Linked DNA regions of Drosophila melanogaster. The protein of the gene in region 1 interacts with the protein of each later gene in a pairwise test. Each region holds a gene or a part of one and is shown in the gene's direction. Other genes may lie near its edges.

Region 1 (4,752 bases):
ATATAATTTTAGTGGCATTCGTATTGGAAGAGTTCTCATCTCACGTGTTTTATACGAAAATTGTACAGAAATGTGAAAGCTTTAAGAAACGCACACAGCTTAATGCTCGATCAAATATTATTAAAAAATGCATAAGCAACTTAAATTGGTTAATTGTTTTATGATTAATTCGGGGATATGGAACTGCAATGAGCTGAAATGAAAAGCTTTGAAGATTTAAAAAGTATTAAAACATATAAGCATAAAACCCTTTCAAATAAAAAAGGTTGTATCCAAATGTTCTAAACAAAGTTCTTTTGATCGTAATAATCATTCTAATAGCTTCGTTTTATCGCATTATTTTAGTAAATTTATTTGATCTAACTCGTATCTTATTTAACGGTATCATTCAACAGCTGTTTACCTATGCTACCACCAATCTGGCAACACTGCAAAACCGATCTGAAAACATATTTTTACGCAAGTCAAACTGGCACTTGAATCTATAAATAGCAATCAAAAAGAAAGCTAATAATTTAATATAGGTGAAAAACAGGCAATTTATTTTTATTTATTTTTATTTATTGTTATTTATTGTTACGCAAGTCTAACTGGCATTAAAATCTATAAATAGCAATCGAATAGAAAGCTAATAATTTAATATAGCTGAAAAACAGGAAATTTATTTTTATTTATTTTGGAAACATTCATTTTTTCTATTTCTTTTATGCCGAAACCCGCTCGATTTGATACGTTTTTTCGTATTTCCGGCAACATAAAATAAGTCAGCGATAAGCGAAATTGAAATAAATAATTTAATTTTTATATTACTTCCAAGGCCTTTTTTATTACAGTGCACTTCCAATTTGCGTCTGCTTAAGGTTTGTGTATTACTTCCCATTGGAAACAACCATAACCTGTCCTAACCGCTAATAATTGTTTAATGGTGAAGCAGATATTAAAAAGTAGCGCGTTGCCTTCGCATCTGTTTGTATTTGCGAGCGTGTTTGTGTAGCGATACCGGGGCTCAAGATGCATATGTATGTACATACATTTGGGATTTGCCAAAATCTTTGGCTTAAATACATACATACAAGCAACCAAACATTTATGGGGGATTTTGTGCGACTGGATTCATTTGTTTTTCGGGTCACAAAAAAGCGGAAAATGGAAACGCTAATCTCGGCTAACCAATAACAACGAAAACCTTGCGCTACCGCTAAATGTTATCTCTTGTTTGAATGTCAGCGCTTAGAGAGCGTCTTCGCACGTATGTATGTACGGTACAAACATACGTATGGATGGATGGATGGACAAGCTTCCAGCGGTTTGTGTGTATGTATGTACTTGGCTTGCACGAAAGTTTCAGTTTCCTATCGAAACACGTCTTAAATGTGTATTTATCATCGGCTGTGGTACGAAATGCACGTCGGTGTATGCGTGCGTACGTAATAGTTGATATTTCTCTTTTTTTTTATTGTTACAGCACGGTTGCGTGTTATGTTTTGCATTTTGTTTTGAAAGCTCCGAAAGCTGTGCTTTATGTAAAAACATACGTACACTTGCCAATGTACGAATGTTTGATTGCACGATTGTATGTACGTACGTTTGTATGTTCGTTTGTACGTTAATACTTGGCGTGTGTTTGTGTATGCGGTTAGCACAAATCCAGCGAGAAAGAAACAACCAACGTTGGCTATATGTATTAACTTCAAAATAAAGTTCAGTTTAAGCTGGAGCGCAGTCGAGGTTGCGTCGCTTGTTCGTTCGGTCGGCTTTTTGGTCTTTCGGCTTTCGGCTAGTTCCTATATTGTATGTACGCATGGTAAGCATGCGTTCTCTTTCGCTTTTCAAGTCTCAGTTTCAGTTTTCAGTCTGTTCGATTGCGTTTGCATAGCATTGCATTGATTTAACAATAGCTAAATAAAGCTTAAAGAGTGTATCTGTGATTTATTTCTAAATGTGACCGCTTTGAGCCAATTTGTGCATAAATATGTATGTACATATAATGCTTTGGATTACATGAATCGCTATTGCCATTTCTGATGCACAATGATGTATGTATGTACGCAAAGAGCATACGAATGCATGGCTTGCATTACGTGATTTCATACATCTGTGGGTGTATGTATGTATGCACCATCGAAATGGCAACTCTTACGCATAAAAATTGCAAATGTGTATAAAGCCCCACGGACCCACACAGCCACATAAACATTATCGGACGCAAATGTATACATACAAAAAAAAGTTGGCTTGGTGGCTTAATTGTTGTTGTTGTTTTTTTGTTGATAGTGTGCACACAGTGCGAAATTAGTGTGATTAAATGTGGAGATGTGTGATTTAATAAGCATGTGGGAAATACAGCGAGAGTGATTGAGATGGAAAATGGGAGATGTACAAGCTGAACTTGCCCAGAAACATGTATACACACGTACATATGCATACGTTTGTAGGATTATGCTCGGCAAAGTGAAGTATTTCCTTACAAGCAAACACAGCCATATATGTATGTTTCTTTTTTTAAACGAATGGCACAGTAAAACAGAGACCGGAATAGATGTTGTCTGTACATATGATACTGTTGATATGATACCATAGCCATAATTTAATAGCCTTTTCATGTAGCATATGCGTCTAGCTATGCAATATCGGGCATGCATAACTGCATATCCTATGTACATATGTATATCGAAATATGGGATAAACATATCACTTGACTAACACATATGCATACATGCATACATACATACACATGTACTCATTAAAATTTAAAGATGCGTGCACAAATTTAAACATTGATAATATAAATTTATATGCAGCGCCGTGTGCATACATACATACATATATTATTTTCTAATTGGAAACGCGTTGGCAATGCCTAATTGGTTTGATTATAAAATTAAATTTCTTCATTTGGTCGCAGGTTTACGGTAACTCTCTGATTTTTAATAGGGTTTTCATATAAACAAGCGGGGTTCGATGAAGTGATATCCCCGGTTTCCCGTTATTTGTTTATACCTTTTTTTTTTTGCTTTCAATTGCTACTGAGTTCAGTATAATGCTATTTCAATAAATAATAATGTTAATTCAATTTAAAAGCTCGGGTTCCGTAGTGGTGAATATGTTAATTAGAAACATGATTAGAATGGGCTAATGCATAATTCCCCTATTGCAGACCCACTGCATCTTACACTTCGGGGGACTTTCTGACCGAAAACAATAGAATCAAATGACATGTGGATACACATGTGCATAGATACGTACATATGTATGTACAGAGATATGTACATATATGGCTTACTCATTGTTAACACTTACCTGTAGTTCCCCCCAGGTGATTCTGTTGTGTCATCCGACGAACAATGGATCATCGCAAATAGGCACTTCATTAATAAGTAAGCACAAACCGTTTCGGCCATAAATATCTGTGATATATGAATCATTTTGGCATCTCTGGTTATAAAAAGCCCACGTTTAACCGGTCCAAGGTTTTTATTTGGGTCTCTCGCACAACACAAATTCAATCTACAATTGAAGTGCTTTTTCGTGTTCTCTTGCAGATACTAGATCGTGAGATACGAGATCAAAAAAATAGATTCATGAGTACGACAACAGGAAAGGGAAACGTCGCAAAAGGACTCTTCGGGAGAATCAAACTACCTTAATACCATTAGCTAAACTTAGTTAAATATGTCAAATACGACGAGGTCCAGCCGAGTTACCATCGGTAGAATTGGAACCACGCCACAGATCACAGATCCATGGTCGTCCGGCTTGGAGAAGCAGCGACCTTCCCGCTGTGGAGGCCCCAAATCTCTCGCAGAGCCAACGTACCGAAAGATCGGACGGCGAAAGATGATGCTCCATATGCGAGTCCATGACCCTGGAACGACTGTAACACAAAGAGCAAAAGAAACGGCAACGGCAAAACTCAATAGAATCTATTTATGTACATTTAACCGAATGGCACAGAGCTGTATATATTTTGTATTATTTTTAGTAATCCTAAGCCCAAATACTAGTTGTGCTCTACGGAGTAGTGCGGGTGAGACTCAGAATTATGTCGGAATACTCAGCAACGATAGTGCAACGACCACATATGATGTGTCGTCCCTGCACAGCAGTAGAAGAACAAATCCCCCATCATCATCATCATCATCATCATCGAATGTTGATGTTGATTATCGTAATGACAGAGAGCTCCACAAGGTCGACCTGGTTGGCCTGGGAGGTGAAAGAGCGGGTCAAGCTGAGACCATTAGCGGCGGCAAATACGATTATAACTATGAAAATACTCACACAAATGCCAGTGCGAAAGATGAAATTGTTGAACGGCAGTCAAATAGCCTCGACTTCGACGGGGTCGATATGTTTGGCGCCTTCAGCATTCCGGAAGAGGCGATATACACAAATGAGTTCGCCGTCAACATTCCAGCTGGCAAGCAAATGGCAGATGTTATAGCTACCAAACATGGATTTATCAATAGAGGACAGGTGAGAATGTTTGTCCAACGCTGCAATGGAATTGGTGCTCATACAATTTACTTAATTTTTCATAGATTGGATCGCTGGACAACTACTATCTGTTTCAGCATCACCATGTATCGAAGCGTTCGCTGCGCTCTAGTCGCAAACATCAGGGCGCCCTTAAATCAGAGAACGAGGTGTGTACTCTCTAAAAAAGTATCCAGTTGGAGCAGAGATTTCAATCATGATTGCCTTGCAGGTGAAATGGATGCAGCAACAGCACGAGAAGGTGCGCCGAAAGAG
Region 2 (4,868 bases), on another chromosome or scaffold:
ATCTACAACACCACCATCGGAAATTGCATCGCACCAGATTTTGAGCAGCACGCACCTTGAAGTAATTGCAGCATCTGGCCATCGTCAACGCTGCAGACTATAATGAGTCAAAATGTGGCCGACAGTTTGGTGAGTAGCTAAACCATTATCTTGTTCATGTACTCTAGTATATAGCAAGCGTAGAAAGTAACAGGGAAATGCATAGAAAGTCATTTTGAAAGTATCTCGCAGAGCACCGAACTTTGTGTGGAGGCTTTTTGCCCAGGTCTGCTAATTATTTGGTCAAATAGTCCGTAGACTAAGTTAATGAAAAATATGTTGCAACATTTTGATTAGAGTGGTGCCGAAAAATCGAATTAAAGAAATTTATAATTTATAATTTAATTTATAATTTTTGTGATATTTATTATCACGATCACAACACAAGAGCGGTTTTTTCGTATGACTAAAGTTTTGGAGCACAACATTTTTCATCTAAATATATATTATGACGTTTACGTTTTAAAATATTATTCTCCATACTTTCTGATAGGGAGAACAGCAATAATTTTAAATAAATTTACTATAGCTTTAAACCGTATTATTTTGACACCAACATCATGAAGCACATTGAGGGTCAATCTTTAATTGATCTCTTTTTCTAGCTTTATATAAAATTCGTTATCAGCATCACCAAGTGCATAACAAATATCAGTGCCTTTTTTTGTATTGAAACTTGTTGCATTCGCTAATTGATCAATTGACGTGCTCATGGTCTCGAATATTTATCCAATGTCTACAAGCAACAAACAAAACAGCAGGCATCGTTTGATTGGCGCTTACGTAAATGCACGTTTTATTAATATTTCTGCTTATTGATTTCCCCGCCAGCTTTCTTTAAATCGTTACCAAATACCAGACAACACTCAGGTATTCCCATTTCCATAATTATGTCATTCCAGTTCACATGTTTGAACGGTTGGTCAAATGATAGCCTAAAAAGCCAAACAAAACATGGAAGAAAATTATTTAAATTTCTTTGTTGGCATTAATCAAAAATTTGGAATAAAATCCTACAGGTTTAGGAGGCCCATAAATTCCATTGATAAATGTGAAGCTATAATGAAGACAAATGCTATTGTGGGGGTCAGTGTAAATATATACCAAAAAATACTAAAATTGACAGAGAGAGTTGAGAGAGAGTTCTGATTAGAAACAAACAAGCCAACAGTCAATTGCTCATCAGAAAAAACATAAACAGAGCGCGAATGGCCAGAGCAAGTAAGATTTTTATGTTTGTTCTGATACGACATATATATACCGTGTATTTATTTTAAGAAACTTATTTATTTATATTTAGCGTGTCAACAGTCACTAGGAAGAAGTTTTAAAGAAATTTGTTTAAATTGATTTAAAAGGCCAAGTTACCATAGTGCAAAAGAAATAAAATCAATTACCAATTCAATGGTAAATTGACAGTTTATCTGGAAAAAGTTCTATTTTAAGTTTATTGACTATAAATTGTGAGAATATGTAGGTGTTTTAAATTCGGAACCAATATTGGAATGCATTGTTAATGTTAACTGTGTTTTTGAACTTGTTCGATGCAACCAATATACCTTCACGCAAGGTGTAAAACCATAGTGGGTGTTTTGCTAGAAGTTCCCACGGTCGAAAACTTGAGTACCTGAGAAAAGCGAACGAGAGAGTGCAATTGAGAGAACGGGGATGCTACAGTTACATCCGTCGAGTAAGAACATCCCCCGAAAATGCTTGCGTTCTTAATGACAGAGAGTGGATCCCCGACAGAGAGAGCGTGTGGGAGAGAGTAAGCGAGAGTTGGATACAGACGATGGGGTTTCGGGCGGTCGTTTGTTCTAAGCGGGCAGAGTTCGTCTTCGACTGTTGTTGGCGGCGGTTGCGTCGCGTGTCTCTCTACCGAGAGCTTTGTGTGTGTGTCTCGCGCGCGTTTTACGCTCTGCGCCCCCTACGCTCCCCTTTTCCAAGTAGAGAAACCCCCGAATGTGAATTTTGTATAATGTTTTTGTAATAACATGGATATCTCATGTTGAGATTTTCAGCCAAGCGAATGAAAATGCAAGCGGTATCCCGAAAATTGCCGTTTACGTGTGTGCGAGTGCAGCATTAGCAAAAGGAAAAGAGATAAAAGTGAAAACAAATAAATAGTAGGGAAGACGTGCTAAAGCACGAGAGCAAAGAGGAGATTGCCAGGCAGACGCATAGACGTAGTGCAACGAACCCTTCTTCGCGGACCAAGGATTCACCACTTACCACTAACCGGAGAACAAATACCAATATTAACCCCCCCACCTCTACTGCTACTGGGTGTGTTTCTCTATGTCCCGTTGACTCATCGTTCCCAGGAAGCTGAACAACGGTATAGCGGCCAGAACACAGAAGCCCAGTACAAAAAAAGAGCAGCAGGAATATCGATTTTACTTGCCTTTTACTTATACAACACCCCCACCACCCATTGAACTGCACTTGGGTGTAAAAATAAAACACCAGAAGCCATTAAAGGAGACGTGTAAATTAAAGCGAACCGACGAGAAGAGGATAACGGATAGGAAAACCCAAGCAGTGCATCCGTGGAAATCTCAGCAACATTTCTCAAGGAACAAAAGCCAATCTCAAATGGTAAAAAAAAACAACGCAATCCATCAGGCCGGATTAGAAAGGAGCGCACTTTAGATCTATTGGTTCTTATCCTGCCCTTACAGTGGTCACTCGAACGTTGATACATTGAAATGTTTTTTTTTAACAATATATTTAAAACAAGTACATCATATTTCTGCAATAAGCAATACATCGGTAACAAACTCCTGATAAGATAAAAACATTAATGGCTTGAATTTTATTACTATTGACCCTCGCCCTTAAATCAACGACATGGATAATTATCGATAATGCGCACCTTTTTTTGTCCGAGAATTTTCAACCCTGAAAACTAGTTGCTGTGTACTTGATCTGGTTTTGTGTGGAGAGGGATTACTGTAGTGTCTTGGTGTCGATTCACAAGGAAATGTCAACAATGATTATGGGCAAAAATGCAATGGTATGGAAACTTTACGCCTAAGTGGAGTCCAGAAATAAAACACCTTCTTTTGGTGGGGAAGGAATAGGAATCGATAAAAGTCGGGAATTTTTTACAAGTTATAAATGAATCATATGGGAACTGCCAAGCTTGGAGAAGCTTTGTTTTGGGAGTTTCGAGAATTTATATGCTAATTAAAAAGCATTCAAAATTGGTATACTTATGCTTGGGAACAAATGGTGTAGGGTATTCTTAAGTGATGTATATAATTTGTTTCGCAGGTGAAAGATAACGAATTAAAGCTATGAATTTAAAGGTGAATCAGTTTGAGATCATTTCAGTTGCAGTCCCAGTTATATTTTCGTTTCTTTATCATCCATTTATGCGGAGTGCCCCTAGAAATCATTTATCAGCTCCCATTGTATGCAAAACAAAAGCTCCGCCCCCCACTTCCTTTACCCACTGGCGAATGATGGGGGAATGCATAAAAAAAATAATTTACGTGGGGAGCTATGCTCAGTGGCTCAAACTTTAGCTTAGGTTGATATGTTTTTGTATTGTTTGCACATCATCTCTGCTGCTGCCCAACGGATGTGGTTTGATAATAGCCGAAAGAGCGGGACAGCTGCTCTGCAGTAGAGACAGATACATATGTACATATACACGTTAAATAAAAGTTTTATTCGGATATGAATTATGGTTTTTGAAATTAAAAATTGCAACAGGATGTGGCATCGGTTGATATTCGTTATGTTGTAATATAGCGAAAAGGAGACATTAGGGATAGAATATCGAATGCCAAGTAATGCCTGTTCTATTATTTCTCATAAACACAAACGATGTAAAATCTTGATGGACCTGTGTTAGTAGGCCGATGCAATTAAATTTGATCATAATTCCCTTCATTTTTTTTTATGTGCACCGAGGGAGCAGCAAATGTTGTCAAGTTGACTGCGTCGGATGCAGTCGCATGTAACTGACAGTCAGTCAGAGTCATTTAGCCAGTCAGTCATTTAGTCAGTCAGTCATTCAGGGATGACAGAGGGAAGGGGGAGAGACTGGTGTTTAGTTTCAGTCGTTTTTTTCCCTTGGCGTTTTCAATTTTGTTTTGCGTTGTTTTTTTTTTGCCGCTGCTTCTGTTGCTGCAATTCACAAAACTCGTGCCAGGGGTCGTCGATTTAAAAATAGAGATTTGTGTCTACAATTGCGGTCAAAATAAATGCCTTTTCATTTTTCAAGACAAGCGAAATGTATTGCTTATTTCGGACACCTAATCTATTGCCGCCAAGAACTAGGAAATTCTCAAAGAACTGTTTTTACATCGATACAAATTGCAATACTTTTACCTATAAATCGAATATCTCAAACGGAATACTATTTTACTATCTCAGAGTCATGTTTCATCATTTAAATATTGATCCATTTCCTTAGATGTATTTTCACTTTTAATCTATCAATATTGTGACCTCAGCTGTATGGCTGTTTGTTGATAAATTCACCCCAAATGCAAATGCAGTACCATTTCGCTTTGATGTTGCGGTTCGACTCTCCTTTGTTTTGGTTTCTGGCTATTTTTGCGAAGATCTGTAATTGAGAGAAACCCCCCCTGGGCGGAAAAGCAGAAAACGCCACCCACACGCTTTTCTGGAGGAAAGGTCACCTGCTTTATATATAGACAGATGATGATGTGGGCCGACCAATCAGGCGCCCCCTCATACTTGGATGTTATTTCTTTATAATTGGGTGCCTTGTATACACAAACACGAATATGTTTGACAATTGCCCGTCGTCTGGCATTATAATACTATATTATTTCATTACTTAATGAGCTTTA
Region 3 (6,587 bases), on another chromosome or scaffold:
TCCTGAAGGACAAGTCGCTGGCCATTTGCAAGCAGTGCCTGATCCTACGCGAAGGTCGGATCGGTGTGGATTTGTGCGACGACGAGGTGGATCGCTCGCTGCGCCGTGAGCTCAAGGTGATCAAGGGCTGTCAGGGATTGGCCGATGCCGCCCTCAAGGAAGCCGAGGAGCAGATCCGCAAGCTGCGCGCCGCCATCTATTTGCTCGATCAGGATCTGGCCGCCAAGGATAAGTCACTGGCCATCGACGAGAAGAACCTGAAGCTCAAGGAGTTCCAGCACGACCTGGCTAAGGGACAGGATTTGTCCAAACAGCATTGGTAGGTTTTTGAAAACTAGGTTGCATGTCAATCACACATGTTGGGGTTTCCTTTTTAAGGAATGATGAAGTGGATTGATTATTAATCTTTTTTCTTTCACTTTTATGCGTAAGTCATTTCGGTGTTCATCAGTACAAGGAGTTTAAAAGGATAAACATTTTACTAGAGTCTTATCCACAAATTCCATTACAAAGTCAAGTAGTTGTTCCCCTTTTCAGTTAGGAATGGAATTGAGGAAGGTCAAACCTAACAATGAAACCGCAGTTTCCTTGGTGATATGGGATAGAGTTGTCCTGAGTCTATTTTAGTGCATTGGAATTAAGTGATTTATTTACAACCACTCAAATCGACCTGATAGTTGCCATGACTCCACCATGCCTTTACCCCCTTCTCTTCCTTACCCAGCCAATTTTCGCTGACCGAGTGGCAGGCGCAGACGTACGAGAATCTGGAGGCCAACGCCAAGGCGCTGGTGTCCGCCGGGCAGCTGCGGGCCTACATCGATTTGCTGCTGAAGCAGGTGTGCGAGGATATGCAGAACCAGACGGACAGGACCAACGAGGCCTTTGAGCGAAGGATCTCGGAGACGAAGCACGTGAAACAGTGTTTGGAGAACAAGCACAAGGACACCATGGATCACATCCATCAGGTGCAGCGCAACATGACCGAGCTGGAGAAGGAGATGATGGACAAGCAGCGGGCCATTACACTGTGCCAGACGCGGCTCAGCAATCGCGCCCATCGTCCTGGCCTGGAGCTGACCTGCGACATGGTCCAGGATGCGCTTTACAACGAACTGCAGGCGCTGAAGGCATCCGTATGCAAGCTCAATCAGAAGCTGAACGAGAACAAGGCATCCATGCGCTACCTGATGCACGTCCAGGTGATGCAGGAGGAGGAGATCAACATCAAGGCGAACACCTGCAAGATCGACGAGGTCGACTGCATGACCCTGCGACAGGCCCTGAAGTACCAAACATTTTAGTCGGGCAGCACTACATCCAGTACAGCACCAGTCCAGTAGTCGCCACACAGCCCAGCCACCAATAATCAAATTAAAATCTAATTATTAGATGCATGTGCATTTCGTGTTCGATCCCAAATTACTTAATAAATTGAAATTCACTTTCGATTTCCAGTTACCAAAACTATGGCTTTTTAATGCATTTTTAAATTGTTCATTTTATTCGAAATAGTTAATCATATATTTCTTTTGCTTAATTTTCGTGAATTTAAATTTCCCGCTTTGAATCTAGTATTTTTAGTTTTACCTGCCTCTATTCGATATTTACCGCTAAGCACAGACATATAGTTATCGATAACGTGAACGCAAATGCGAGGGAGTATTGCAAATAGTGTTACCGTGCTGCTGTGAAAATTCCCAGGTGTGACCGCAGCCCGCATTCGATATTGATGAAGCCAGGCAAAACGTAGAAAAGCAAAAGAAAACCTTAATTAATGTTAAGTTAAAAGTGTATAAACCCGAGATTAAGGTAAGTGGCCCACCACCATCTAGATTTTGAGTACACCGAAGGCATGGCGATGTTGGCAGTGGCGGGAGCGTTACGCCTCTACCGCCACCGCCTCCGCCGCACACGATAAAAAATGGAGTACAGCCACGAATGGGCAAATCAATAATTTTCAACACTCCAATTGTTTTTACAACTGAAATCAGTCCTAATCTTGTTTTCCGCAGTGCAAGGATGTCGAAACGGAGCGCCGACGACGCCACCGGCAGCAGCTGCTTGGTGGCCGCCGCAGCCGCCGGCCAGCCGCCCATCAAGAAGGTGCACTTCGAGCCCCATCTGATTGGGCCGGTGTCCACGCTGGAGGAGATGGACATCAAGGTGCTGGAATTCCAGAACAAGAAGCTAGCACAGCGCATCGAACAGCGGATGCGAACGGAGGCGGAGCTGCGACATCGAATCGAGCAGCTGGAAAAGCGGCAAACGCAGGACGACGCCGTTCTAAACGTGGTCAATCGGTATTGGAATCAGCTGAACGAGGACATACGAGTCCTGCTGCAGCGCTTCGATGCCGAGACGGCCGACGAACTGGAGAACCGGAATGAGAACGAGGTGACCACCTCGTTTCTCGCCCAACTGTCCACCTGGGACAAGGAGGAGCTGGACGAGAAGCTGGCCAACCGCGTCCAAGTGTCCAAAAGGGCGGTCGCCAAGATCGTACAGGTTATTGATAGGTTAATGCAACGCAATGAAAAGATAACTCATGTCTTGAAAGGTGATAGTCTGGCTTCAGCTGGCTCCGGTTCAGGAGCGGGAGCTGGCGGCGAGGAGGAGCAGCAGCAGGCCAGCGGCGATGCGGAGACCACAACGTCATCGGCCGGTGTCCATGCGCTAGAGGAAACCCTGAAGCAAACGCACATCGAGATCATGAGCGAAAATCACAAGCTGCAGAATCTGAATACCTCGCTGCACGAGAAGTTCCACACCATGTCGCTGAAGATGAAGGAGTACCAGGACGCTCATACCGCCAAGGAGACGGAGAACGCCGAACTGAAGAACCAGATAGACGAACTGCAATATGACCTAGAGAAGATCCATTGCCGGAATGATAAGCTGGAGAACCACTTGGCCGAGGCTATTGAAAAGCTGAAGGCCTACCACCAGATTTACGGTGATCCCAATAAGAGCACTAATAGTGCCAAGACACCAACTACCACAGGCAGCGGCGGCGCCACCACCAGCGTTAATAGCCAGCTATTGGAGGAGCTGCAAAAGGAGCTGGAGGAGTACCGCGAACTGGCCAACAACCGACTGCAGGAGCTGGATAAGCTTCACGCCACGCATCGCGAAACCCTGAAGGAGGTGGAGAAGCTTAAAATGGATGTAAGTTTTGAATGAATAATGTATTAGCTTATCTGGAGCATTGCTAATTATAGTTAGTCATTTCGTTTATATTTTCTTTGTATTATACTGATTCATCCTTAAAATCCATTCCAGATACGACAGTTGCCGGAATCGGTAATTGTGGAAACCACGGAGTACAAGTGCCTGCAGAGCCAGTTTTCCGTGCTCTACAACGAGTCCATGCAGATAAAGACCATGCTGGACGAGACCCGAAACCAGCTTCAAACGAGCAAGAACCAGCATCTGCGACAAATCGAAGTGATGGAGAGCGAGGAACTTATTGCCCAGAAGAAGGTGCGCAGCGAGATGATCCAGATGGAGGACGTTTTAGCCCTCATCCGAAAGGAGTACGAAACGCTACGCATTGAGTTCGAGCAGAACATGGCAGCCAACGAGCAGACGGCACCCATCAATCGCGAGATGCGCCACCTGATCACCTCTCTACAAAACCACAATGGCCAACTGAAGGGTGAGGTGCAGCGCTACAAGCGAAAGTACAAGGACACGTCCACGGACAACTTGAAGCTGCGTCAGGAGCTGGCCGATGCACTAGCTACACTCGAAGGCAACAAGTTGCAGGCGGCGACTGGTGCGGCTGGCGAAGAAATCAAGCAGGAGAACTCAACAGGTGTGAAGGAGGAGAACTCCAACAACGTTTCCGCCAGTGGACAAACAAACCAAACAAATTCCGGCAACGATACCAACGTAGCCATCAAGGAGGAGAACCATATCTCGGCTGAAGATGAAGCTGATGACGAGGCCAGTGGTAAGGACGTAAAAGACGGCATCAAGCAGGAGAAGCTCAGTTCTGGAGACGCGGCGGCAGCTGAGAAGAAGGATTCCCCTGGACCCGGAAACTCAACAAGTTCTGCGACCAATTCTGTTCCCGTCAAAAACGAAAAGGATTCCAAGGATGGTGTCAAGGGCAAGGATGTGAAGGCAGTGGAAAGTGAAACGGTGCGCGATCTGAAGGCGCAACTAAAGTAAGTTTGTTCAGCAATTACGATTATCTATTTAACATTGTTTGATTTACAGAAAAGCACTGAACGACCAGAAAGAAATGAAACTCCTGCTGGATATGTACAAAGGCGTATCGAAGGATCAGCGCGACAAGGTCCAGTTGATGGCCACCGAAAAGAAACTGCGCTCCGAGATCGAGGAGCTCCGCCAGCAGCTGAAGAAGCTGCAGGAAAGCAAGCGCGAGGAACGCAAGAAGCTGGCCGACGAGGAGGCGTTACGTAAGATTAAGCAATTGGAGGAGCAGAAGTACGAGCTGCAAAAACAGATGGCCAACCACAAGCCAACGGATAATTCTTGGGGCAGTGGAGCCCCCGGCACAGCGAACTACACGCGACCGTTTGTTGGTTCCCACGAAGAGGAGGCACTGCTGAACGAGATGGAGGTTACCGGCCAGGCGTTCGAGGACATGCAGGAGCAGAACTCCCGGCTCATACAACAGCTGCGTGAGAAGGACGATGCGAACTTTAAGCTAATGTCGGAGCGCATCAAGGCCAACCAGCTGCACAAACTTCTGAGAGAGGAAAAGACGGTGCTGGAGGATCAGATGGCAACGGCGACCACGCAAATCGAAGCCATGCACATTGTGCTGCGAAAGCTGGAGGAGAAGGAACGCAGCCTGCAGGCCACCGTCGCGTCGATTGAGAAAGAGTTGATGCTGCGGCAGCAAGCAATGGAGATGCACAAACGCAAGGCGATTGAATCGGCGCAATCGGCAGCGGACCTCAAGCTGCATCTGGAAAAGTATCACGCGCAAATGAAGGAGGCGCAGCAAGTGGTGGCGGAGAAGACCAGTTCGCTGGAGGCGGAGGCCTACAAGACCAAGCGGCTGCAGGAGGAGCTGGCGCAGTTTAAACGCAAGGCGGAGCGCATGAAGAAGATGGAAATGTCGGGCACCACCATCGACGAGGTGATGATTGAGGAGATCCGCGAATACAAAGAAACGCTCACGTGTCCCTCGTGCAAGGTGAAGCGGAAGGATGCTGTCCTGTCAAAGTGTTTCCACGTCTTCTGCTACGACTGCCTGCGCACTAGATATGAAACGCGGCAGCGGAAGTGTCCCAAATGCAACTGCGCCTTCGGCGCCAACGATTATCATAGGCTATATCTGCAGTAGATAAGCGATAATTTAGATACGTTCCGGTCATGTCCTATTCATACACAAATCCACCCACGCCACACACCACTACCGCACACCCAGCATTCATGCCGGATTATTATTCATTATGCATATATTACCTACGTACTAATATTTGGTTAAGTAGTCTCCGAATAACTTTCCCCCACCAGATTTCCCATGGCAATTATTTGAATTCGTTCATTCTGGCGCCAAGCAAAAGCATCTCATTATGAGTGCCGCGAGATCGTGACGCGGTTTTTATGTAGCTTCTAGTTTTTGTAAATCAAACTATTTTTAAATGATTTCATTTGAAAACTAAATGTACGAACACTAATAAATGGCTAAAACCTATTGTTTAGCATGCCCCGAGTTATTTAGATACCCCATATATACATAAGTGTAGGTTCTTTGTCTTGCATTCAGTTAGCATTATATTAAGCGTATTCTAATCTTAAGTTAAATACTCCTATTGTAATGATCAAACGTAGCATAGATATCAAATGTATAAACTTGGCGGAGAATCCGTTTAAAAGTCGCGCTTTGCTTTGAAGGGCTGCTAACTTGGTTATAATTGATAAGTAATTGTAATAATGTATGATCGAAAATTGTTGTTCAGCTGAACAAAACGAGTTTTGATTGCTTTTTTGTTTGTGTGTAAATGTGTTCGTTCTTTATGTGTACTGTTTAACGAATAAAGAAACTAATGATCAGAAATCGTGACTTTCAATCAATGTTATCTCTCTACATGAAATCCACCTGTTAGAGCTGTTAGCACCCACGCACTCATGTTAATAACATCGATGCTTATCTGAAACCTGTAACCATTGGCGCGCAACAGGTTATCGGGGTTTAAAACGCTATGCTGGTATTTTGTTCTCTACAGAAAGTAGGAAAGTGGCCATAACTATAATTTTATGTATAAACAGTTTGATCATATTCTAAATTTCTATTTTATGGCACAAGAACATAAAACGAATGGTTAATTTAACTCAACTGGTATAAATTGGTAATTATCATTGCATATTTTCTATTTATAAATATTTAATTGCGTCCAACTGGACCAAAGTCTTTTGAGCAATTGTCTTAATTTTAATTTGCATCACACTTTTGCAGGCAAATCTAGTTTAAGTTAGCCGTGTTAGGTTCCAATTGGCCAGAACAGCCCAGTTGGCCAGGCCATTCCCCAGTAATTATGCTACCTAGTATTTATTACAATGGCTCAAGAGCAACGACATTGTCTTGTGCAATTATAATTAACAGC
Region 4 (4,958 bases), 7.0 Mb from region 1:
GAACGAGTACATCAATTGTTTTCAAGCCAGTTTTATAGTGAACAAAAAAAAGTAGCCTTTATGTTAGTACGCTAAGTTATAAACTAGTTGTTGTCAAAACGTCTAGAAATCGAAAGTCAAAAAACTTTACACGGTTTACAACATTCAGACTGGCTGTTTTGTATCTTAAGCAGCTATTACAAAATTACATATCCATTCTACGTTCGTACTCAAATCGATTCGCATGTCTTTCTAATAAATAAGTTGTCACATTTGATCTTAATGCTATGGACCTATGACCTATCGACCATCAGCTACCCCCGCTTTGATGACAAATAAATGAGGCTTATGGCGGGACAGTCTGACAGCCGTAAAGAAACTGCTAGTGTAAGGGAAGTGCTTAAGTCTTGGGCTGAGGCAGATACTCTCTCGTCGTCCGGTGCTGTCGGTGCTAACCTAACTTAACTAGGGCTCTTAGTTAGTTGCTGCTGCTGCTGTAGACGCTGTGCCTGCGAATGTTTGGCTAGTCGCTCGTCTTCAATCGCTTCACGGGTCCATCGCTGCCCTGCGAGTTCGAGTCCTCAGAGAAGGGCATACTCGACACGAAGTCGGCGCCCTGGCTGTCGGACACGACGGAGAAACCTGTGTACAGATAGAGATCGCATGAATAAGACAGAGTAAACATGTGCTTTGGAGTGATAAATTGTGCTGAATAGGAAATACGCTTTGAAGCCAAAAACCAAATGTAAACAATATCGCTAATGCAAAGACAGCAATTTTTATAGCAGCTCCGCAAGCTTATGAGACTAATGGCACCTCGTAAAGGTCCTAAAATCCATATACTGCATCCTGTTTTTTTGTTTTGGCTCCTAACGCAGTGCTTGCAGACATAGAACCCAACTACTTATTTAAAGAGAACCAGCACATAGCCATCCTTACAGGTGTTAGAGTCCTCGGCGGTTAGTCCCTGGTAGCTGGGCGTGATCTGCGGCGGCGTGGGCGTGCCCTTCTGAGAGTTCTCCTTATCGCTCTTGCTGCCGCCGACCGGCGTAACGCCCGAGCCGGGGGGCGGTCTCCGGACAGCAGCCGATCCCGGCGAGGACTCCAGCTTGGCCTTCTTCTCACTGGCGGAGGCGATGGGCACCCATTTGTAGATTTTCATGGTGGTGTCGCTGATGGTCACCCACTTCTTCTCCCAGTGGCGCACCTTGTCCACCGCCTGCATCACCCGCTTGATGTCATCCTTCGCCCGGCTGCGCGTCTCCGCCCGCACGCTGCGCGACATGTCTGTGGGTCGATGGCGCCTGGTCTGGCTCTTCCTGCTTTAATCGCTTTTCCTCCTTAGCCAAAGTCGGCGTCACACGAAAAGCCGCTAAGTGTTTTCGCTACTTCTGGCTGCTTCACAACTGAACTCTCCCCGTCTGGCTTTTAAGTGGGATCGTGTCTCGTGATTTTGGCTGGTCTCGACCAGTTAACCAGTGGATAGTTCAGTTTTTTTGGCAATTCGCAAAAATATTTTTTAATACAACAAAAATAAGTAATCGATAGCAAGCGTGATTTTCAACTGATGTTATCGAATGATTGCCCGTTGTTTTCACGGGCTGCAGTGTGACCATTGGCTAAAGGTCCGTGCTAAAGTGTGATAGCTTATTAATTCGTGTATGATTTGTAACTCAAGTGCTTAATTTTTGAGCTGAGCTAAATTATTAGCCGTTTGTTTTTGAACAGCTACAACCGTTAAATTTTTAAATAATAATTTTGAACTGTTAGTCCAACGGTTTCTATTATCTGGCAACGCCAATGTTGCCAAATGGTATAATCTAGTATATTTTCGTGTACCATCGTGAGAGTGATGGGCGAAATATCGATGCGCGATGAGTATCGATTTGTCGATTCTTTATCATCGACAACATATCGATATCACAATGCTACGATGTCACTTCGATGGCTCGATGGTTTTTCGATGTTTTTCCACCGACCGACGAAATTATGCGTACGCTCCGCTTATTTTTTATTTATTTTTTCGTAATGCGAACCGAACGTTCGCCGCCCATTAGAATGGAATGAAAAGTCGCACAAAGCCGGGAAAAGTGAAGTTATTTACGCGAATTGAAACTCGCAGTGCGTGCGAGCGAGAGCGATAATTAAGATGAAAATGCAGGCGACGCCGAAATAAAAAACAAAAAAAACGTTGCAGCAACAACGTGCGTGTGCGAATGTATGTGTGTGCGTGCGTGAATGTGTGTGTCTGCTGGTATATGTGAAGAGCCAGGCGAACGAGCAAGAGGGTGATAGGAGGACGAGGAAGAGAAGAAGAAGAAGCAGCGGTGGAAAAGAGAACGAAGAAAAGTGGGGAAAGACGAAAAAGGCAAAACGACAAACGCACACGAAATTGAAAATAGTTGTACGAAAATCAGGAGAAAGCCAGCGATCTTATTTTTTTCTTAAATTTTCCCCCTGGATAATTGATATTAGAAATGTGTGCGTAAGCTAACACCGATACTAACACCAATGCAAACGCAAGGCTAGAATCGCTCCTCGCCCGAAAGAGAAAAAGAGAGAGAGAGAGAAACGCAAACAAATTGGAATAAATTATAGAAATTTAAAATAAAGTAAACAACTCAAATGGCAGGAATTTAAACAAAAGTAAACAAGGGGAACGAGCGATATAAATTAGTTCAACATTTCGGAATTTAAGTTAGAGGAATCTATGTTAGTGTGATATTTTATTTCATTCTATGTTGTCATTTGATAAGTTAAACATTTTACTTAAATGTGCAGCAATATGCTAATTAGCACTAAACATTTTATTTTATTCAATCATAAGTATTCATTTTTTTAAGTGAGATTCTTGGGACTCAGCAGTAAATATAATACGAATTGATAGCGAATGTATGAAATGCGAGTGTAATGTGTCATTTGAAATTGTGATTTTTTTTTCAAGTGAAAGTTAAGTGAAATATTTTTCTTGAGTGTACCTAATCAGTTTCATTTATAAATTTATTTCTGCAATTTCCCCAAAACAGCAGCCGCTTCAAAAGCCAGAACTTTGAAAAGTCGAAGCTGAATTTTCCCCGAGTTTTCCCGATTTTCCGTTTCCCGCGAATCTGAAAGCCGCGCTGCCGGCGTCGCTGTCTCTGCCGCCGTCGACGTCGTCGATCCCGTTTCACGCGTCGCCGCTTCGTCTCGCCGTCTCGCTTGTTTCCCGCCCCCTCTCTCTCTGCCCCTCGCCCGACCCCGCCACCCGACCCTCCTACCAAAAGTACCCCCCCCCCCCAACCAAAAAAAAAAATAAAATCATCCTTAAACAAAATATAAAAGATACGAAATAAAACAACAAACACACAGAGAGAGAGAGCGAGTGAGATAGATAGATTGAGAGAAAGCCAAGTCAAGAAACGTCATCAAGCGGCAGCAGCAACAACAACAACAGCAGCAAGCACAACAACTGCAACTGCAACCAAAACGGCAACCTCATCAGCGACAGCAGCAACAAAAACAAAACGCATTTCATTGCCAAGAAGAAAAAAACGGTCAACGACACTGCAACAACATTGGCCAACAGCAACAACAACAAATCAGCAATACTGAGAGACTGCACTAGCAACAACAACAACTGAAACAACAACCAACAAATAGGAAAATAGGAAAATGCCCAAATGCGATGTGAAAACGCGCTACATTCCTGCGACTTTCGCCTGGATTGTGCTGCTTCTGACCACATTTCTCTTCTTCTTCTATCCGTAAGTAGCCATTTTAATGATAAAATAATTATAAGTTAATATAACATTCAACAGTTTAGTTCAGAAACCTTAAAAAAATGACCAAATACCTTTGAGTTTCTTTCGACTGAATTTCATTTCCATTGTCACAAAAGTAGTGCAATCTGCGAGTGGGTGCTATATATCACTAAATATATATGGTTAGTTTGCGGTGGCTTCGCGAGAAGTTCATGAATATTGAATGTGCCTTAGGCGGTATTCACTGTTGCCACACACGCGTACTTTCCTCTCTCTAGACCCCCCCCCCCCCCCCCACCCTCGTGGAGCGGCGTAATCAAAGACGACCCTTCGGCCTTCGTCTGCCAGCCAAAACCATAGAAAACCAGCCCAGCCACCCACTCAGCTTTCCACCCACCACCCACCATTGGCCCCACCCACATTATTTTCTTAGTAGCTTGCAGTTTTGTTGCTGGCACTTTATTTATTTTGCTCGCATTTTCGTGGATTATAACGACGAGCCGTAATGCATTATTATATGTGGGACAGCAGCTTTGTTGTTATCCAGTCTGGCCCCATTTACCACACCGCCCCCCCCCCCCCTAATTTTCCTTGTCTTAGTCATCTCTCAGTGGCCATTTTACTGCCCCACCGCCGGCATCTCCACCTCACACCGCCCCCGCCCCCCCACACTTGGCACTCAATTTGCAGTTTGCTCTGTGCGGTTTTTTCGCTCCTTTTTGCATTTTGCTGGTTTTTTTTTTTGCGCAAATTGTTTTCGTGTATTTTGGTCGTAAAAAGAATTTCAGTTTTCAAAATGCCGGGGGAAAAATGGATGAAAAAAAAATATGATGATGATGCACGTGGCTCGAGGGTCTGGCAGATTTTCCGTCTATGCCAGGAATACATATGTCACGGTAATTAGATGAAAAACTAGCATATGTTCAATATTTCATATTTCAAAAATATATTTCATGGAGCTAATGCAGCTTTTCCAAAAAACAAAAAAAACATGATAAGATTTGCTGTTTTCGTAATTAATTTGCGGTTTTATCTGAGCACATTATATTACTGCATTATTTATATAATAACATTATTATTAAAATCGTGAAACCTCCGCATGGTATAAACATTTTTTGCTTGTTTTTTTTTTTTTTTTTTTTTGAGACAACTAGAAGGCCAAGGGAGCAACAAATTTGCATAGCATGTGCACAATTAGCACATGAAACGAAACCAAAATAGCAATTAAGCAGTCTGTTT

Evidence for each region.
Region 2: the proteins of Fur2 (region 1) and Rgl interact in a two-hybrid assay, tested with the Drosophila melanogaster proteins (one large-scale study listed by BioGRID).
Region 3: the proteins of Fur2 (region 1) and Bre1 interact in a two-hybrid assay, tested with the Drosophila melanogaster proteins (one large-scale study listed by BioGRID).
Region 4: the proteins of Fur2 (region 1) and Zdhhc8 interact in a two-hybrid assay, tested with the Drosophila melanogaster proteins (one large-scale study listed by BioGRID).

The regions. Positions count from the first base shown.
Region 1 is NC_004354.4:16,371,384-16,376,135, forward strand, and holds the start of Fur2 (furin 2), read left to right. Parts: upstream 1-1,702; 5' UTR 1,703-1,804; intron 1,805-1,838; exon of another isoform or gene 1,839-2,040; intron 2,041-2,246; exon of another isoform or gene 2,247-2,451; intron 2,452-3,157; exon of another isoform or gene 3,158-3,377; intron 3,378-3,542; 5' UTR 3,543-3,672; coding exon 3,673-4,476; intron 4,477-4,541; coding exon 4,542-4,646; intron 4,647-4,708; coding exon 4,709-4,752. Other genes in the region: nonA (no on or off transient A), read left to right, coding at 1-164. UniProt on the Drosophila melanogaster protein: Furin is likely to represent the ubiquitous endoprotease activity within constitutive secretory pathways and capable of cleavage at the RX(K/R)R consensus motif.
Region 2 is NT_037436.4:13,916,960-13,921,827, reverse strand, and holds the start of Rgl (Ral guanine nucleotide dissociation stimulator-like), read left to right. Parts: upstream 1-1,862; 5' UTR 1,863-2,634; coding exon 2,635-2,637; intron 2,638-4,868.
Region 3 is NT_037436.4:5,789,281-5,795,867, reverse strand, and holds Bre1 (Bre1), read left to right. Parts: upstream 1-1,675; 5' UTR 1,676-1,812; intron 1,813-2,015; 5' UTR 2,016-2,022; coding exon 2,023-3,168; intron 3,169-3,282; coding exon 3,283-4,172; intron 4,173-4,224; coding exon 4,225-5,323; 3' UTR 5,324-6,037; downstream 6,038-6,587. Other genes in the region: Tektin-C (tektin C), read left to right, coding at 1-319, 725-1,304. UniProt on the Drosophila melanogaster protein: E3 ubiquitin-protein ligase that mediates monoubiquitination of 'Lys-117' of histone H2B. H2B 'Lys-117' ubiquitination gives a specific tag for epigenetic transcriptional activation and is also prerequisite for histone H3 'Lys-4' and 'Lys-79' methylation.
Region 4 is NC_004354.4:9,353,226-9,358,183, reverse strand, and holds the start of Zdhhc8 (zinc finger DHHC-type containing 8), read left to right. Parts: upstream 1-1,956; 5' UTR 1,957-2,069; exon of another isoform or gene 2,070-2,197; intron 2,198-3,005; 5' UTR 3,006-3,630; coding exon 3,631-3,722; intron 3,723-4,958. Other genes in the region: BCL7-like, read right to left, coding at 503-621, 919-1,264. UniProt on the Drosophila melanogaster protein: Palmitoyltransferase that catalyzes the addition of palmitate onto various protein substrates and therefore functions in several unrelated biological processes. Regulates tissue growth possibly by regulating Ras64B protein stability.